Oreochromis niloticus: one gene and its partner. The protein of the gene in region 2 purifies or fractionates together with the protein of the main gene of each other region. This does not show direct contact. Links are inferred from orthologs where the notes say so. Each region holds a gene or a part of one and is shown on either strand. Other genes may lie near its edges.

Region 1 (8,093 bases), on a different chromosome or scaffold from region 2:
GGCAGCAAAAAAAGTTGGGACGTGGCATCCATGTTTTCCAAGTAAAACGTAACATTTTGATTTCTGACCAGAAAGGTTTTCCACTTTGCCTCAGACCATTTTAAATGAGCTTTGGCGGAGAAGATGGCAGGGTTTCTGGATCGTGTTCACAAGTGGCTTCTGCTTTAGAGCCTCTACATTCAAACCTTACACTCCATGCAAGACAAAACTGTTTTGCTGATTACAACCTGCAGCACTTTGGTACTTTTTAAAAAACTTGTTGGCTCACTTGCTGATTATTTTCCACCATGACGAGTAACGCATTCAATTATGATGCTTTTACTAGGTTTATGTGAAATAAGAACATGACAGGAACAACATTTATTTATATAATAATGTGATTTGTACAACTGCTCTGAAAGGCAGATCGTGTGTCAAATAAAGAGCAAAATACTACTACTACTACTACTACTACTACTACTACTACTACTACTACTACTAATACTAATACTAATAATAATAATAAAAACAAACTATGAGCAGAACAGTTTCAAGGTTAAAATAGAAACCTAAAACAAAATAACAGCAGTCTAAATGGAACATATGAATTTTAATCCCCCTTTTAATAAAGTACACCACACACACACACACACACACACACACACACAATTTTTTTAAATTATTACTCACTTGATGTTTGAGTCCCAAAGAAGTTTGCCACTGGATTGACTTTTGCGACCGGTTTGCTTTTGGGTGCTTCGATCTAAAATACAAAATACACACTTAGAAACAAATAGAGCAAAAACTCAAGTACCCTGGAGAGCAACTGACTGCAGCACAAGGACAAAGCCGTACATCATGTGCATCCTCTTTCTTTTCAGGCTTCATCTCTTTGCTGTTATCCTGACTCTTAGGAGCAGATTTGTTAGCAAACATTCCCATGATGCCTTTTGGAGGCTTGGCGGATGATTTTAAAACTGGGCTGGTGTCTCCATTCATGCCAGCCTTTTTGTTTTCAGGCTCAGGTGTAGGAGCTTGCTGAACTTCCCTCGCCTGCTGCAGCTCCACAGAAGACATGGGCACTGCGCTGGCACAGCGGATCGCGCTGTATCTGAAAACCAAAAGGAAATAACTATTAAATAATATTAATAACATTATACATTAATTATGCTTTCATTCTAATAGTGGCTAAACTAATTTTTACACAGATGGTGTAGAAATGCTGATTACTGGTCACTGCAAATCAAAAAACACCATGATTAGCATACCTGCTGCAGTTTTTAAGATTGTCTTTCACAGCGTCGTAGTCCACAGCGTAAAGTGGGCCGCTGTCTTTAAGCAACGCTTTCTGGACGCTGTAGACGTGCACGCTGACTACCAAGCTCATCTTGGCTTTGAAGTCTGCAGAAGAAAACAGCAAACTTGACACACTGCTGCTTCATTTACAATAACTATGTCATTAAATAAAACAAAATACAAAGAAAATCAAGACTCACTGACATAAAAGTGTACCATTTAGTGATGGTGATGATTATGAAATGAGGACATTACTTTCGAAATGAGAACCAAACAACGAGCCAACCTTGCTGTTACAGAGCAACACAACCGAATGATGTCATGTGAATTAATATTTACACACCTTCCAGCTGCTCCTCTCTCACAACAGACACCTTGTGACTCTGAAAAGCAAACACAGTGTAAAAATCATTAAATCTGCAGCTTTGTGCATGTAGAAAAAAAAAAAAAATCACAAAAATTGCTACAACAGGTCTCACCGTTTGACCGTTGTCCACAAATTTCCCTGACACAAGGTAGGTGGCATGCAGCTGAGCTGAACTCTCCTTCCTCTTGTGATCCAGGTAGTGGTAGAGCATTCTGAACACAAGACACAACTTACATGTATTTCCCACAACTTGAGCCTTTACCTGGGCCACTTAGGAACATCAGTGTTTATGGCATTTATGTATTTATCAGCCAATGACACAAAGTGTTAATGATCTTTTTTTAAAAGAAAACACACAGCACCTTTTTTTGCATGCACACATATGCCAAAACATGCAAACATGTGCATGTCTTCATCTCAGTAACACAACAAAAACGGTGTAACTCATTGCAGAAAAACTCAAGCGACATTCCACTGGACTATTACTGTCAAATGTAGTGCTTCTTTGGCGCTAAATACAGTAAACCCTAATTAATTTAAATTTGGGATTGTTGCTTGGACAAACAAGACATTTTGAAGATGGAAAAAAAAAGTATCATATATTATTTTATTAGTTCATGGCATGTCAAAGTAACCACTTACTGTTTTGCTGTGTTGACATGAACTCCAAGAGTGAGACTCAGCCATTTATAGGTTACCTGTTGTAGAGAATGCACACAGGACACTTGTATTTACACAGAGACTATATGACGGATAATAAATATTATCCAAATATTGTCATTTCTTTAAGGTACCGATTATTGTTGCTTTCCATTAAGCTACGTGAGCTGGGAAATATCTAATACTTATCAGATATAAACAAATATCGACTTTATGTCAGTGTTTGAAATGTCTTTACTACAGCAGTGTTTGTCACGCACTTGGCGGTTTCCAGCAGTAACTGAAATTGGTCAACTAAAAATAAGCTTTTCTTCAATTCAAGTGCCATTTACTACAGCATGGCAGAGCCGAATTAACACGGAGACCCCTGAACATCCCTAAAATTGATAAAAATGCCCCCGGATACACATAAATTGTCGTGAAAACCAGACAAAGTTAAAACGGCAGTTTTTTTGAGCGGAGTTCAGCAGCCAATCATGTCGAAGCCAGAGCTAATTCATGTTCTAGTTCAGCCAGAAAACGTCATCGCACAAAATGAAATACCGCGAATTAAGAAGGCACTTACTATTTTATTATGGTCATTGACGTATTCGTCAATATTATCCAAATAAAGCTCATCCATTTTGGTTTATTCTCCTTGAAAGCAGACGACTTGCTGTTCCAATTTAACTGCGCGGGAAAGCAGTTTATTTACTTCCTGTTGCATGTCACGTGTCCGCCCGTCCTTCCTGTGAAGCGAAAGGCTTTAGGCTGCCCTCTGCAGGCCAGACGGGGCTGTGACTCACTCCCTGGATCAAATGAATGATAGAAGTAAAAAAAAAAACAGGAGCTTCATTCATTTATTTTTACTATATTCCACACACATTATCATTATTAATACGTTTTTTTTTGTACCCCAAAACCAACACGGGACAGTTAAAAATCAGTGCAAACTGTCTGAGAACAGCAAAATCCACAATGTGAATGCAGTGGAGCTGAGTGGAGAGAGCATCAGTTCATTATAGGCACTATAATGCACCTATGTATGTGGAAAACAATAATGATGATGGGTCTCCAGGGGCCACTTTAAAGCTATCTCTTATTATAGTAGCCCAACAATGTGCTCCAGTTTTACCTTACCGTCTATGCGGGAGGCAAAGGAGCAGTGTGTAGAAAATAAAGCAAGCTTCTTACACCGCCATCATATCAAAGAGCAATAACTACAACAGCAGCATCCTCAGATTGTTCAGTAGAGAAGTCCATTCCTTCCTCATGGGGAGTCTGCATGATATTTCTAACTCAGGCAATAATAAACTGAAAATGACAACAGAACAAAAATGGTTTGCCCAGTGTGTCTTCAGCTTTCAGGCAACTTTCTCAGGTCACAAGAAAAAAAGTGCAGTGCTCAAAACATAGGATTATATGAAGTGATAAGCTTCAAAACATAAATAACAGATGTTAACTGACCTCCGGCTCCTTAGGAAATAAAGTAATCTTTCTCCCGCTTGTATATGGGTATTCCAGTCCAACTTACTGTTGGGCTGCACACCAGGGTATCTGTGGTTGAAGACCACTTCCATCTCAGTGCTCCTTACAGTTATTGGTGTTGATTGGCTCCTTCTCCCACCCCTCGTGAAGTCTACAATGGTTTTTGTGACATTATGATGAAGAGGATTGCATTCAAAGTCCTAAACTGTTCCTCTATTCTCCTCCTGCTCACCACTTTTGATTGAGCCGACAACTGCTGTGTCATCAGAAAGTTTCAGCAACAAAGTGTCACTGTTGTGCTGATGTCTGAAGTCTGCCGTAGACATGGTACATGCTACACACGGGACTGTGCTAGAGACACTTTTTTGCAGATGCACATATTGTGGTCGGCAGGAGAGATACTCCAAAAACACAAGACCATTGATGGATTGTAGTAAAGGCACTGGAGAATCAAAAAATGTGAATGTCACAAATGCATTGACCAGATATGTATGTGGCCTCTGGATCGACACAGCATTGGTGTGCTTCACTTCTGTTGCATCAGATCTGAAAGAGTAGGTTCAAAAAGTTTAAAGTTATTTATTTGCTTTAATCAAAATGAAATTCACTGACTCTCCCATGTTGATGGGGAAAAAAGAGACTTTTTGTCTCTTATGGATCAATCAAGACAATTAAGAAACTGAATAAATAAATAAATAATGTACCAGAGGAACATTTCCAACCCTGAACAAATGTGCTAAACAAGTAGAAAAATAAGAATGGTTTTAAACAAGCTAACCCATATCATTATCTGAGCATTTCCATTTCTACTCTACCACTTGCAAACCTATTGCTCCAAAAAGCCTTGTTAATGAGATGTAGCTGTCAAATCTGAGTGACACGCTGTATATATGATTATCTGAGGTGTGTTCTCGCAGTCTATCTGATGTAATATTTAGATTGAAGTAGCTCTGAGTCTTCAGTGCACAGCGCTGCTCAGCCTGCACGGTAACTTCTAATAGAAATGTCAAACAGAAGGGCAGCGACGTGCAGCAGAGGAGGGAAAAATATTCCCATAATGATGACAAAGTACAAGAATAATTGTCTCACCTTGAAGACGGAGAGCAACACTGAAATCCTCAGGTGGATCAGATTTGGTTTAAATGAAGGAACATTGTGATCCTCTTTGTCTTTCTTCTCATTGTGCTGCACACAAGCACCTTTACCTTTTTGGGTTTTTTGTGGACTCCTTTGCAAATATACCAGTGCAAAAAATGTAAAAATATTTAAAAAATTCAAATTCAAATTCCCTTAAAGACTTTTTTGTACTTTTTTTTGTCCATATACAGCACCACAGATTTTAAATCAAGGAATCAATAAGCAGTTAAAGTGCAGATTTTTAGCTTTAATTTAAGTTTAACAAAAGTATTGCAGTAGCTATTTAGGATTTTTAGCCAGTTTTATACATAGTCCTCCAGTTTCAGAGACTAATAATAGTAATCGGACAGTTGAGTCATAAAAAGTTTTATGTGAGGTCTGTTCCCTTGTTAGTCCATGATAATATTAAACAGATAAAAGACCTTCTGTTTTTTCCAGGTTGACATTTTCACTGGAATTCTCAGAATTCCAAAGGCAGAAGTTCAAAGGCAGTCCGTCAACTGATGTTAATGCACCAGACAAGGCTTTTTAGTTAGTGAAGACAAAACTTAAGGCGCAAACATACAGCAGCTGAAAATGGCTTGAGTAAAGGCCTGAGAGAAGGCGAGAGGATTTAATACAGCATTTGTTAATTTCCACGAGCTTCTAGATTTCAGTCAGTTATTACCTTATTTTCATTCTAGTATTATATTTTGTGCAAACAAATTTTAAATTGAAGATTTTAAATTAAAATTATATCTGGAAGTATATAGTTCCATTGCAGTGGTGTATAGAGGCAAAATTGTGTCCAAAAACCTAAAGACCAGACTGTATCTCACAAGCATGTGGAGCGTGATCAGTCTATGTCTGTGGTTCTTACAAAACTACAGACATAAAAATTTGGGGAACCATTGACAGATATAGAGTTCAAAAATAGACCAAATGTGCTTTTACGTAAAAATCCTAATCTATGAAGGTATACATACTTGGATGTCAAATTATAAATCAATCCACTATATTTCAAAGAAAGATGTATTTATTCTTTTAAATAGATGTTTCCATAAATACCAGTCAAGTACAATTTTACAAAATCAGGTCACTAAACCAGGTCAGGGTTAAACAAGGTTTTTTTGTTTTAATGAAAGGATTCAGAGTCAGTCAGCACATCTGATTCACTGTAAGCAAAATCAGGGGTTGAATTGATATCAAACCGCAGCCCTCCTCTTGTCACACCAGAATGTCACTTGAGTGTCCCAGTGCCCCCCTCTGGTTGGCTCAAGTGCCTCTCTGCTATGAACTAATGCATCAAAAGTAAACCTTCTCTGTAATCCAGCCCTGCACGTGAAAGAAAAGCTGGCTCTCCTTTAAAAGCCAATGCTCATCACAGCTGCTTTCAGAATCGGGGTAATGTTTGAAACAGTGTTATTCCTCCTTTTGCTGAAGCGTTTATGATACTTTTTATATTGCATTTGTTACTGTTCACTCCCGAATTACATCAAAACCGTGACTGGCTGTATTTGTGTGGATCAAGGGGTTTATTATTGGTTTTATTTTACACTTTGTTTGCAAAACAAACAATATTGGACGTGTCACTCTATATAAGAAATTCAGTCCAAAGTTTTACATTACAGATGCAATTTCTTAGTGATGCAGTGGCTGTGCCATATTTAACATGCCGGTTCATGCGGGCAGAAAAATACGTTTATGCTTGTAACACCTGGAAATGTTGATAAGTGTCGGCAGTACCTGCAGGTGTCTAACACTCTGTGGCTGCCTCCTGTGCTGCCAAAACATCTCTGATCCATCAGGGCGTGCACGAGGTACCGCTGAGGGTGGTCTGTGATGTCTGGCACCAGGAAGTGGATGTTGGCTTTGGGTCCTGTGGTGGCGCTTCCTTGACCGAGGTTGTTCTGGCGTGTCCTGATGCTCAGCAGGATTCACGTGTGGTAGGGTTAAAATCTGGATCAGCGCCTTGGGCAGTTTGTTAAGGTCTTTGAACAATTCGTAAACTTTTTTTTTGCCATGTGGTAGATTGGCTTACATGGGGAGATGATTGCTATCAGGGAGTGACTTTGACGTTAGATACACTTGACCTGCAGCAGTGGCAGCAGTGTAGATGTTACCCTGACATGCAGTGCTCCACATCATTGCAGAAACTCATGCAGAACAGATGGTAGATGGTATCAAATATTTCAGTGGTTTTAACGTTGTGGCCGAACAGTTTATTTAGGTGGTGTTGTGCAATCATACAAGTTTTGTTTTGCCATGGTTGTGACTGCGATCATCATAATATTTCTCCTTCACATACCATGAACTTCTATGACATTGACTTTTTAATGATCCTCAGAACTTTTAAATATTGAAAGAAAACAGAGAAGAACTTTTGATTGCAGCAAGAAAGAAGGATGGTAAACCAGGACGATTTCCCAGACACTGGAGGAGAAAGGATAAAATATCAAACCAGCCTCGCCAGGACTGGGATGGTCTTTTTGGCCGTCTCCGCCCACCACTCTCACAGCATCTAAGTGTCTGAAAAACCAAGCCCATCCTGACCTCCCTGCCATGGCCCCCAAAAATGTAATTAAATTAATTTTTTTTCTAGTTCCGGTGATATAATTTGATTTGCTGGGCCGCTTTTGTCAAAATAAAAGAATGCAAATAAAAAAAATTAAAATGAGCAAATACACAACAATGAAATCTACATCTACCAATCTACAAATAAAGAAAACACCAAATAAAAGAAAGTGAAAAACTAAAATTACTTTCACATCATGACAGTCGTATCAGTTTATGTTCATCTTAACTTTGACTGGCCTAGAGTTTATTTTGGAAAGCTAAAAGTACACAGTATCTACACGATGCGTTAACACACAGAGGTCACAGTTTCTTTTTAATGTATATATATTTACATTTATGGAACACCTGAACAGGAACCTTGAACATGATCACACCACACATAAATGGCCTGTATTTATATAGCGCTTTACTAGTCCCTAAGGACCCCAAAGCACTTTACATATCCAGCCATCCACCCATTCACACACACATTTGATGGCAAGCGCCCCAGCCACCCTGGGGCGCACTGACAGAGGCGAGGCTGCCGGACACTGGCGCCACCGGGCCCTCTGACCACCACCAGTAGGCAACGGGTGAAGCGTCTTGCCCAAGGACACAACGACCGAGACTGTCCAAGCCGGGGCTCGAACTA
Region 2 (7,465 bases):
CTTGTGCTATTAAAAAGGTCGTCAATGGAACTCTGTTTGCTCTTATCTCCTCCTTGGCTGCTACTACTGCTCTGGGATTTTGGCATTTTCACTGGTGAACCGTTTATGTTGACAAAGTGCGTCGTGTTGCCGACAGACCTCTTTACAGGTGGCTTTCTCCCCATGGAAGTGGATGGTCTGACTGAGGTAAAAGTGTTGGAAATCCCATTGGTCTTGTTAGAGTGAACAGGAGAGGAGAGACTTTTAGGCGGGGACGATGGCGTGAAGAACTTCTTTGGGGAGGGGACAGGGTTGGACAATGGTGTTTTCACAACAGGAAGTGGTGGCCTGGGAGATGGCGAGTAAGACGTTGAGTCCTGAGACTTCCCCCCAAGGATGAAGCCTTTCCCACTAAATGGGATGATGTCCCTTATATCCTGTGATCCAGAACCTGGGACAGGAAATGATACAATTTAGAGTCAACCATGCAATGTATTTAAATCCAGTAACTTAGTTCAAGTGGACCTGGTTTGCTTTTTCTTTAATTTCAGTTCTTATATTATATCTTTTTATATACACGACCAGAGTTTCTGACAATGAAGTCAGTGTATGTAAAGTGATCACTTCAGGTGCTCTAAATCAGGGGTGTCATACTCATTTCACACTGTGGACCACATAAAGTCCATTTTGACCTTAAGTGGGCCTAACCAGTGAAACTCCTCTTTCTGAAAGTGTAAAGAAGTTATTACTATTATTATTACTATTATTATTACTGTTATTATTATTATTACTATTATTATTATTAATTGTGTAGTAATTACACACTTAATGTTTCCAAAGCTGTCCAGTGGGTCAACCGAGAGTCTCTGAGGGGCCAATTCAGTAAATACCATTCTTTATATTTCCTGCATGTTTTGTTGCAGGGGGTCATTTGATTTAAATTGATTTTACATGCTCAAGTTACTCAGTGGAAACAATCTATTCACGGTTAAAAGCAGTCAGGCATCAAAGCATAACATGACTGTTGTTTTGAGGCTGTCACAAAAAATTAAGAACATTTTTCACTGATGTTTAAAATGTTTGAAATATGAACAACATTTTCTAGTTTGTTGGCACAATGTATTAAAGCTTAATACACAGGAGTGTACGGGCATGTTACCTGTAGTCGTACTTGAAGGCTTGCCACTTCCTGCGGCCTTCTTCTCTGAGGTCTTGCTGTTTTTTTGGCCTTTTTTGCCATATCCTTCAGGCTCCTTGATTTTGGTGTATGTGCCACCACATGTTCTCTGGTGATCCTCCCACCAAGGGTCCAGAGAAGAAGGAGCTCTATTCATGGCTCTCTTCACGTAGCCAAAGTAGGGTTTACGCTTCTGGCAGGGCCCATTACACCGCCACCAGTGCTGCCGGTACATATCAACCTCATCGTGGAAGCTGTGGTAGATCTGATGAAAGGAAGGAAAGATGGCAAGACATAAGTTTATGAAAGAGAGAGATTAGAGAAAATCCAAAATGAATTTAAATGTTTCTTGATTACTTTGCTGTACAATCATTGCACCCTGAACAGCAGTTCAAACAAATCATTAAAAGCCCCAAATTCCTATGACATTCAAGTCCATGATGATTATATGTAAACTTCTGAATACAACTGTACATTTGAAGGTTTGTATGTATATGTGGTCCACAAAACAGAATAAGTTTGAATATGTCTCAAGAACATATACTTACAGTAATCTTGGTCCCACTGGCTTTGTTGATCCGGTTCATGTGTTTGCAGAACTCAGGTCCGTGGCCATCTCTGTCCCGGTTATTTTGTGTCACAAACAGGAGCGCGTGAATCATTTCATGGAGAAGGGTCTGTGGCAACCAGTGAAAATAAACTGATTAATAAAATGAAAATTGTCCTCTTTTTTAAGGATTACAAGTTCTAATCTATCACACTGTCACGCATTCACTGCTGGGGTTAGGGAGGTAAAATGATAGTTGTATAAATTTCAGCCCCTACAACAAGCCCTTTCCCAGTGTTTCTGATGTGAATGGTGTTCAGGTCCACCTCACCTCTACCAGGTCTTTTCTGGGTCTAAGCTTCAGCAGAGGCTCACTCAGCCTGATTGAACACAGTCCACCTTGACCCTCATAAGAACAAACTCCAGCACACCTAAGAGAAGAAAGAGAGGAAAAGAGGAGCAGGACACATTACAGACATGCCAAACCAAATCCCATACAAAAATCAAAGGTGTTATTGTGTAGACAAGTTTGTGGGAGTTAAAAATAACAAAAACATGCATGACTTACAAGGTCATTCTCGAGCTCCACTTCACCTCCACACCGCTGAGTTTACCCCAGAAGAACATGTCATTGAACTCCAGAAACATGGCCCTGATGTCGGGGCTAGGGTCAAGCATCTCCCAGGACTCGTCCACAATGGACAGTGGCCTCTCAAGCTGGGGATTCGGTTTCCAGTAGGGAACAACATCGCTACCACCTCCAGCTACCTCCACTCTCCGTTTCTTATTGCTCTGCCCGAAACTATTATCTATAGTACCACTTGATGAAGATAATGAAGCCCGGTATTCCTGATCAAACTGCTCCTGCAGCCGAATAGCGAGCAGAAAATCCTCATCCATGACAAGAGAGGAAAGTTTTTTTGTTGTTTTGATGATATTTGTTGTTATGTTCTTTTTGGTTAGCGTGTTAGCGCCAACTAGCTAATGCAGTTTGTACAGGTCTCAAAAAAGCGGTAGCATCACGTCGTCTCAAAATGTAGTCTGACAAATTACCAATACGTGTCCAAATACTTTCTGTCATGAAATTTTCAGTAACATTTTCATATTACTAACCGTCAGACCAAAGCTAGCGCGAAGATCCGTGTATCAGGTCTGTCACAATAGGACAAAATAAATTCCGCTACGGGTTTCAAAGTAAAACAACTAAGTCAGTTTTAAACGACTAAGTAAGTTTTAAGTAAAAGCCTGAGTTCAATATGGCTATTTTCTTTTTTGTTTTGATGTATAAGTTTAAAATATCAAACTATCTGCATATGCGTTCTGTAGCATCCACTAATATCTTTTTTCAAAAATGGAACATTCTTTCGTTTTATAAAATGCTACATCCTGTTTAGTTTTGCGTAACTACCATAAACTTGATAGAATAGTCAAGCGAAGGTCTTGGCAATGGATTATGGGAACTGTAGTGTTGTTCGTTTCAAGTAGTTTCCACCAGTTAAATAAATAAAAGCAACACGGCTTTCTAATATAAATCATTAACATATGTTAAATTATATTAAAAATAAATATAAGACCCATTATGAACGACTAATTATCATTTAGATTTTTTAAAATTGTTTTTATTATTTTTTTGTATCCCGTGACGTTCCAGGGTGTCAACTTCCTGTTTAGACTACAAGCGGATATGAACCAAGGAGCCTCGATAAACTAGTTCTCTGTCCAGTTTTTTCTATATTTTCTCAACAATTTATCTCAATAAGTAAACAGTTACACGGCAAAAGATGTCGGAAACGGGGAACCGACTACGGAAGCTGCTCGAATCGCCCAATTTCGACCCGCAAAATTACGTCAAGCAGCTGTCACAGCAGTCCGATGGCGACAGGGATTTGCAGGAGCACCGACAAAAAATCCAAAACCTTGCGGACGAAACGGCTCAAAATCTGAAGAAAAATGTTTACAAGAACTACAGACAGTTCATCGAAACTGCCAAAGAGATTTCCTATCTGGAGAGCGAAATGTACCAGCTGAGCCACATCCTGACTGAACAGAAGAGCATCATGGAGAGTATCACTCAGGCCCTGCTGTCCACAGATAAGGATGAGACGTCTAAAGAGATGCAGGCAGCTTTTCCCAAGGAGACGGAGGAGGTGAAGCAGAGGACCCTCACCTCACTGTTGGAGAAAGTGGAAGGGGTTAAAAACATCATGGACACCCCAGGCAGGCACCTTATCTACAATGGGGACCTTGCAGAGTTTGATGTTGACAACATGTCCCCCATTCAGAAGGTGCATGCTTTCCTGATGAATGACTGTCTGCTGATTGCCACCTGGCTGCCTAACCGCCGTGGCACGGTTAAGTATAAATACAACGCTCTGTATGACCTGGAGAGCTTTGCTGTGGTTAACGTAAAAGACAACCCTCCGATGAAGGACATGTTCAAGATCCTGATGTTTCCAGACAGCCGCATCTTCCAGGCAGAGAACAGCAAAGTTAAGAAAGAGTGGTTGGAGATCCTAGATGAAACCAAGAAAAACAAAGTCTCCAAAGACAGGCACAAGAAGGAGGAGGAGGTCCCCACTTCTCCTGTTAGAGCTGAGGTATCCACCAATCCTTTTGATATGGATGACGATGAAGACACGGTTGATGGTGAGGAGAGCGTGAATCTTAGTCTTGAGTGGATCCAGGAGCTGCCAGAGGATCTGGACGTGTGCATTGCCCAGAGAGACTTCGAGGGTGCTGTTGACCTGCTGGACAAGCTCAACGAGTATCTCAGAGATCAGCCTGTCACCCCGAAGGTTAAAGAGCTTAGGGGGAAGGTGGATGAACGTGTGCGGCAGCTGACAGAGGTCCTGGTGTTTGAGTTGTCTCCAGATCGGTCACTTCGTGGCGGTCCTAAAGCAACCCGGCGGGCTGTTTCCCAGCTCATCAGACTAGGTCCTTTTATTTTTTTGTATTTTCCTCAATAATAACAAGCTTGCACACATCACCAAAACAAATAACACCTGTCTGCTTAGATCTCACTTTATATTCAGTGTATTCACAGTAAGGAGCCCACTCACAGGGTTTCCACAATTCACTGTTCATTATTCAGGGAGTTTAGCTCATTCTCTTCCATCATTTGCATGGACTTGACTTTCAAATTGCTTGTTGTCCGAGTTCGACCTTGGATGCAGTTAAAGTGTAATTTTCAGACAAATAAGCTGTGCTTGCGGTGATCTGTACGTATTCACTGTTTTTCTCTTCATCTTCAGTCAAGGTGAATATTCTCAAACTACTTAATTAAGAAAATAACTTTCCTATTCAGAGCACTAAGAGAACTAACCTCATGATAGTTTATATATAGTTTACTATTTATTTTTTGTCAGAATTGTTCTTGAATGGCCAAATGTTATAAAGCCTTAGAAATTTGTATTTTGCTTTGGTGCAGAACAGCTTCGAGTGGATCCATTTTTAATTATGCCTGAGCTTTGCAAACAGACTCCCACACACTGACTGATTTGCAAAAACATGTTTATTTGCAATTTTTCAGTACTTGACCTTTTTCGGGCAAAACATTATCCTTTAGCAGGAGTATGTAGGGTATAAACCTATTTTAAAACTCAATCAAAAGGAAAGAGAGAGACACTGAGGTAGGATCGCTTTGGCAATGTGAAAAAATCACAAAAGTTCATATTTCAGTTAACTATTAACATATAATACTCTCTTAATATCTCCCATAATTATTTTCTAAACATTTTGTCCCTTCACTCCCAGGTATTCTTTATATATTCAAGGAGAATTTGCCATCCACTTTACTCAAATTTAATTGACTTTTTTTTTTCCATTTAGCTTAATAGGTTTCAAGACATATACTAAAAAACATACCAGAATCAGCTGAGAAATAGCTACACATGTTGTACATTTGCAGTCATAAATATAAAGGCCCTCAGATTCCCATAATGCATCACAGTTTGCATGTATTTGCAAAAAGACAATGTAATTGCCATGAACATCTGTACTGTCTCATCACACAGTCATCTGTGTTTCAGGCCAGTCCACTAAAGCCTGTGAGCTGTTTCTGAAGAACCGCGCCGCTGCAGTGCAGACTGCTATACGGCAGCTTCGCATTGAAGGAGCCACGCTGCTCTACATCCACAAACTCTGCAACATATTCTTCACCAGCCTGCTGGAGACGGCCAAGGAATTTCAGATGGACTTTGCCGGGAACACAGGCTGCTATTCTGCCTTCGTGGTCTGGTCCAGATCAGCCATGAGGATGTTTGTGGACGCCTTCAGCAAGCAGGTAGTTAGAATGTCAGATGGTAAAACCCTAAAATGAGTAATAGGTACGTCCCCTATGATTAGAAGATATGTAACATCTATCATTTGTATATTCTTTATTGTTTATAGCCAAAAACATACTAAGCGACTGAGACACGATGTAATATTTGTGTGTTCCGGTGGTGTTTTTGGGTGTTAATGGTTTAAAATACGCAAATAACCAACAATGTGTCTAGGTATACAGAGGATAAGCTTCTGGATCTCAGGTGTATAAAAAATTTGAGTTCTTTTAGTAATAAAAAAAAAGCCATCTGAGAAGGGCAAAGAACTGAAAAGTATTGCTGCAACACAAGAGGATCTCTTAAATGGCAGCCAGAGCATGCAGCGTGCAAGTTTAAATTTATGGTTGTATAGTTTTCTTAATACAGTAAATTTTTTTATTTCCTCATTGCTAGGTGTTCGACAGTAAGGAGAGCCTGTCGACGGCAGCGGAGTGCGTGAAAGTGGCTAAAGAACACTGTCAGCAGCTCACCGAGATCGGCCTGGACCTGACTTTCACCCTGCAGTCCCTGCTGGTCAAAGACATCAAGGCAGCGCTCCAGAGCTACAAAGATATTATCATCGAGGCCACGAAACACAGAAACTCTGAGGAGATGTGGAGGAGGATGAACCTCATGACTCCTGAGGCTTTGGCTAAACTTAAGGTGGATCAGAATTATTTCTGTTTTGTCTCTTGGTTCTTATGGTTTCTCACTCAGTGTTTTGTTTTCTTCAATTGTTGATTAGTTTTTAACCAAGAACCTCCTAAATTGAGTAACAGAAACCAAACCTTTGATAATCCGGTATTAATCTGCTTAAATGATTCAACTGTTGAAATTTTTCCACTGTGAGGCTTTTAAGCTCCTTTTTATATAATTTTATATTTTGGGGTTTTTTGCATGCTCCTTGTACAATAAAAGCACAACCTTGTCATGTGGGGAACTCATTTTATAAAGTAAATACTACATTTACCAAAAATAATAGTTAATTATGTTGTAATTTCTGGAGGCAGGGATTTTGGCTTGTGTGCTTAGAGCTTCTGTTACAACAAATGCTGAGGATTTCATATGAAAGCTGCCACAAATCACTGTTTTCCTTTACCTGCTGCAACATTAACGTATTTATCTTTCTGCAGGATGAGATGCGCAGTTGTGGCATTCACTTCGAGCAGTACACAGGCGATGACTGCTGGGTGAACCTGAGCTATACTGTCGTGGCCTTCACCAAGCAGATGATGAGCTTCTTAGAGGAAGGCCTGAAGCTCTACTTCCCTGAGCTGCACATGGTGCTGCTGGAGAGCCTGAGGGAGATCATCCTGGTGGCCGTACAGCACGTAGACTACAGCCTTCGCTGTGAGCAGGACCCTGAGAAGAAAGCCTTTGTCATGCAGAATGCCTCCTTCCTCCATGACACCGTGCTGCCGGTGGTTGAGCGGAGGTTTGAGGAGGGCGTGGGGAAGCCGG

The links. The genes of interacting proteins can lie anywhere in the genome.
Region 1: the proteins of sprtn (region 2) and pold3 purify together in Homo sapiens (affinity purification with mass spectrometry; 3 studies listed by BioGRID, with this or other methods). This does not show direct contact. The link is inferred for Oreochromis niloticus from reciprocal best matches to the Homo sapiens genes SPRTN and POLD3.

The regions. Positions count from the first base shown.
Region 1 is NC_031982.2:27,838,834-27,846,926, reverse strand, and holds the start of pold3 (DNA polymerase delta subunit 3), read right to left. Parts: upstream 3,026-8,093; 5' UTR 2,925-3,025; coding exon 2,868-2,924; intron 2,341-2,867; coding exon 2,285-2,340; intron 1,855-2,284; coding exon 1,755-1,854; intron 1,659-1,754; coding exon 1,619-1,658; intron 1,381-1,618; coding exon 1,248-1,380; intron 1,091-1,247; coding exon 835-1,090; intron 743-834; coding exon 670-742; intron 1-669. UniProt on the Homo sapiens protein: Accessory component of both the DNA polymerase delta complex and the DNA polymerase zeta complex.
Region 2 is NC_031980.2:18,418,474-18,425,938, reverse strand, and holds the start of sprtn (DNA-dependent metalloprotease SPRTN), read right to left. Parts: upstream 3,099-7,465; 5' UTR 2,604-3,098; coding exon 2,272-2,603; intron 2,135-2,271; coding exon 2,035-2,134; intron 1,834-2,034; coding exon 1,705-1,833; intron 1,422-1,704; coding exon 1,139-1,421; intron 431-1,138; coding exon 1-430. Other genes in the region: exoc8 (exocyst complex component 8), read left to right, coding at 3,485-4,637, 5,732-5,985, 6,419-6,667, 7,138-7,465. UniProt on the Homo sapiens protein: DNA-dependent metalloendopeptidase that mediates the proteolytic cleavage of covalent DNA-protein cross-links (DPCs) during DNA synthesis, thereby playing a key role in maintaining genomic integrity.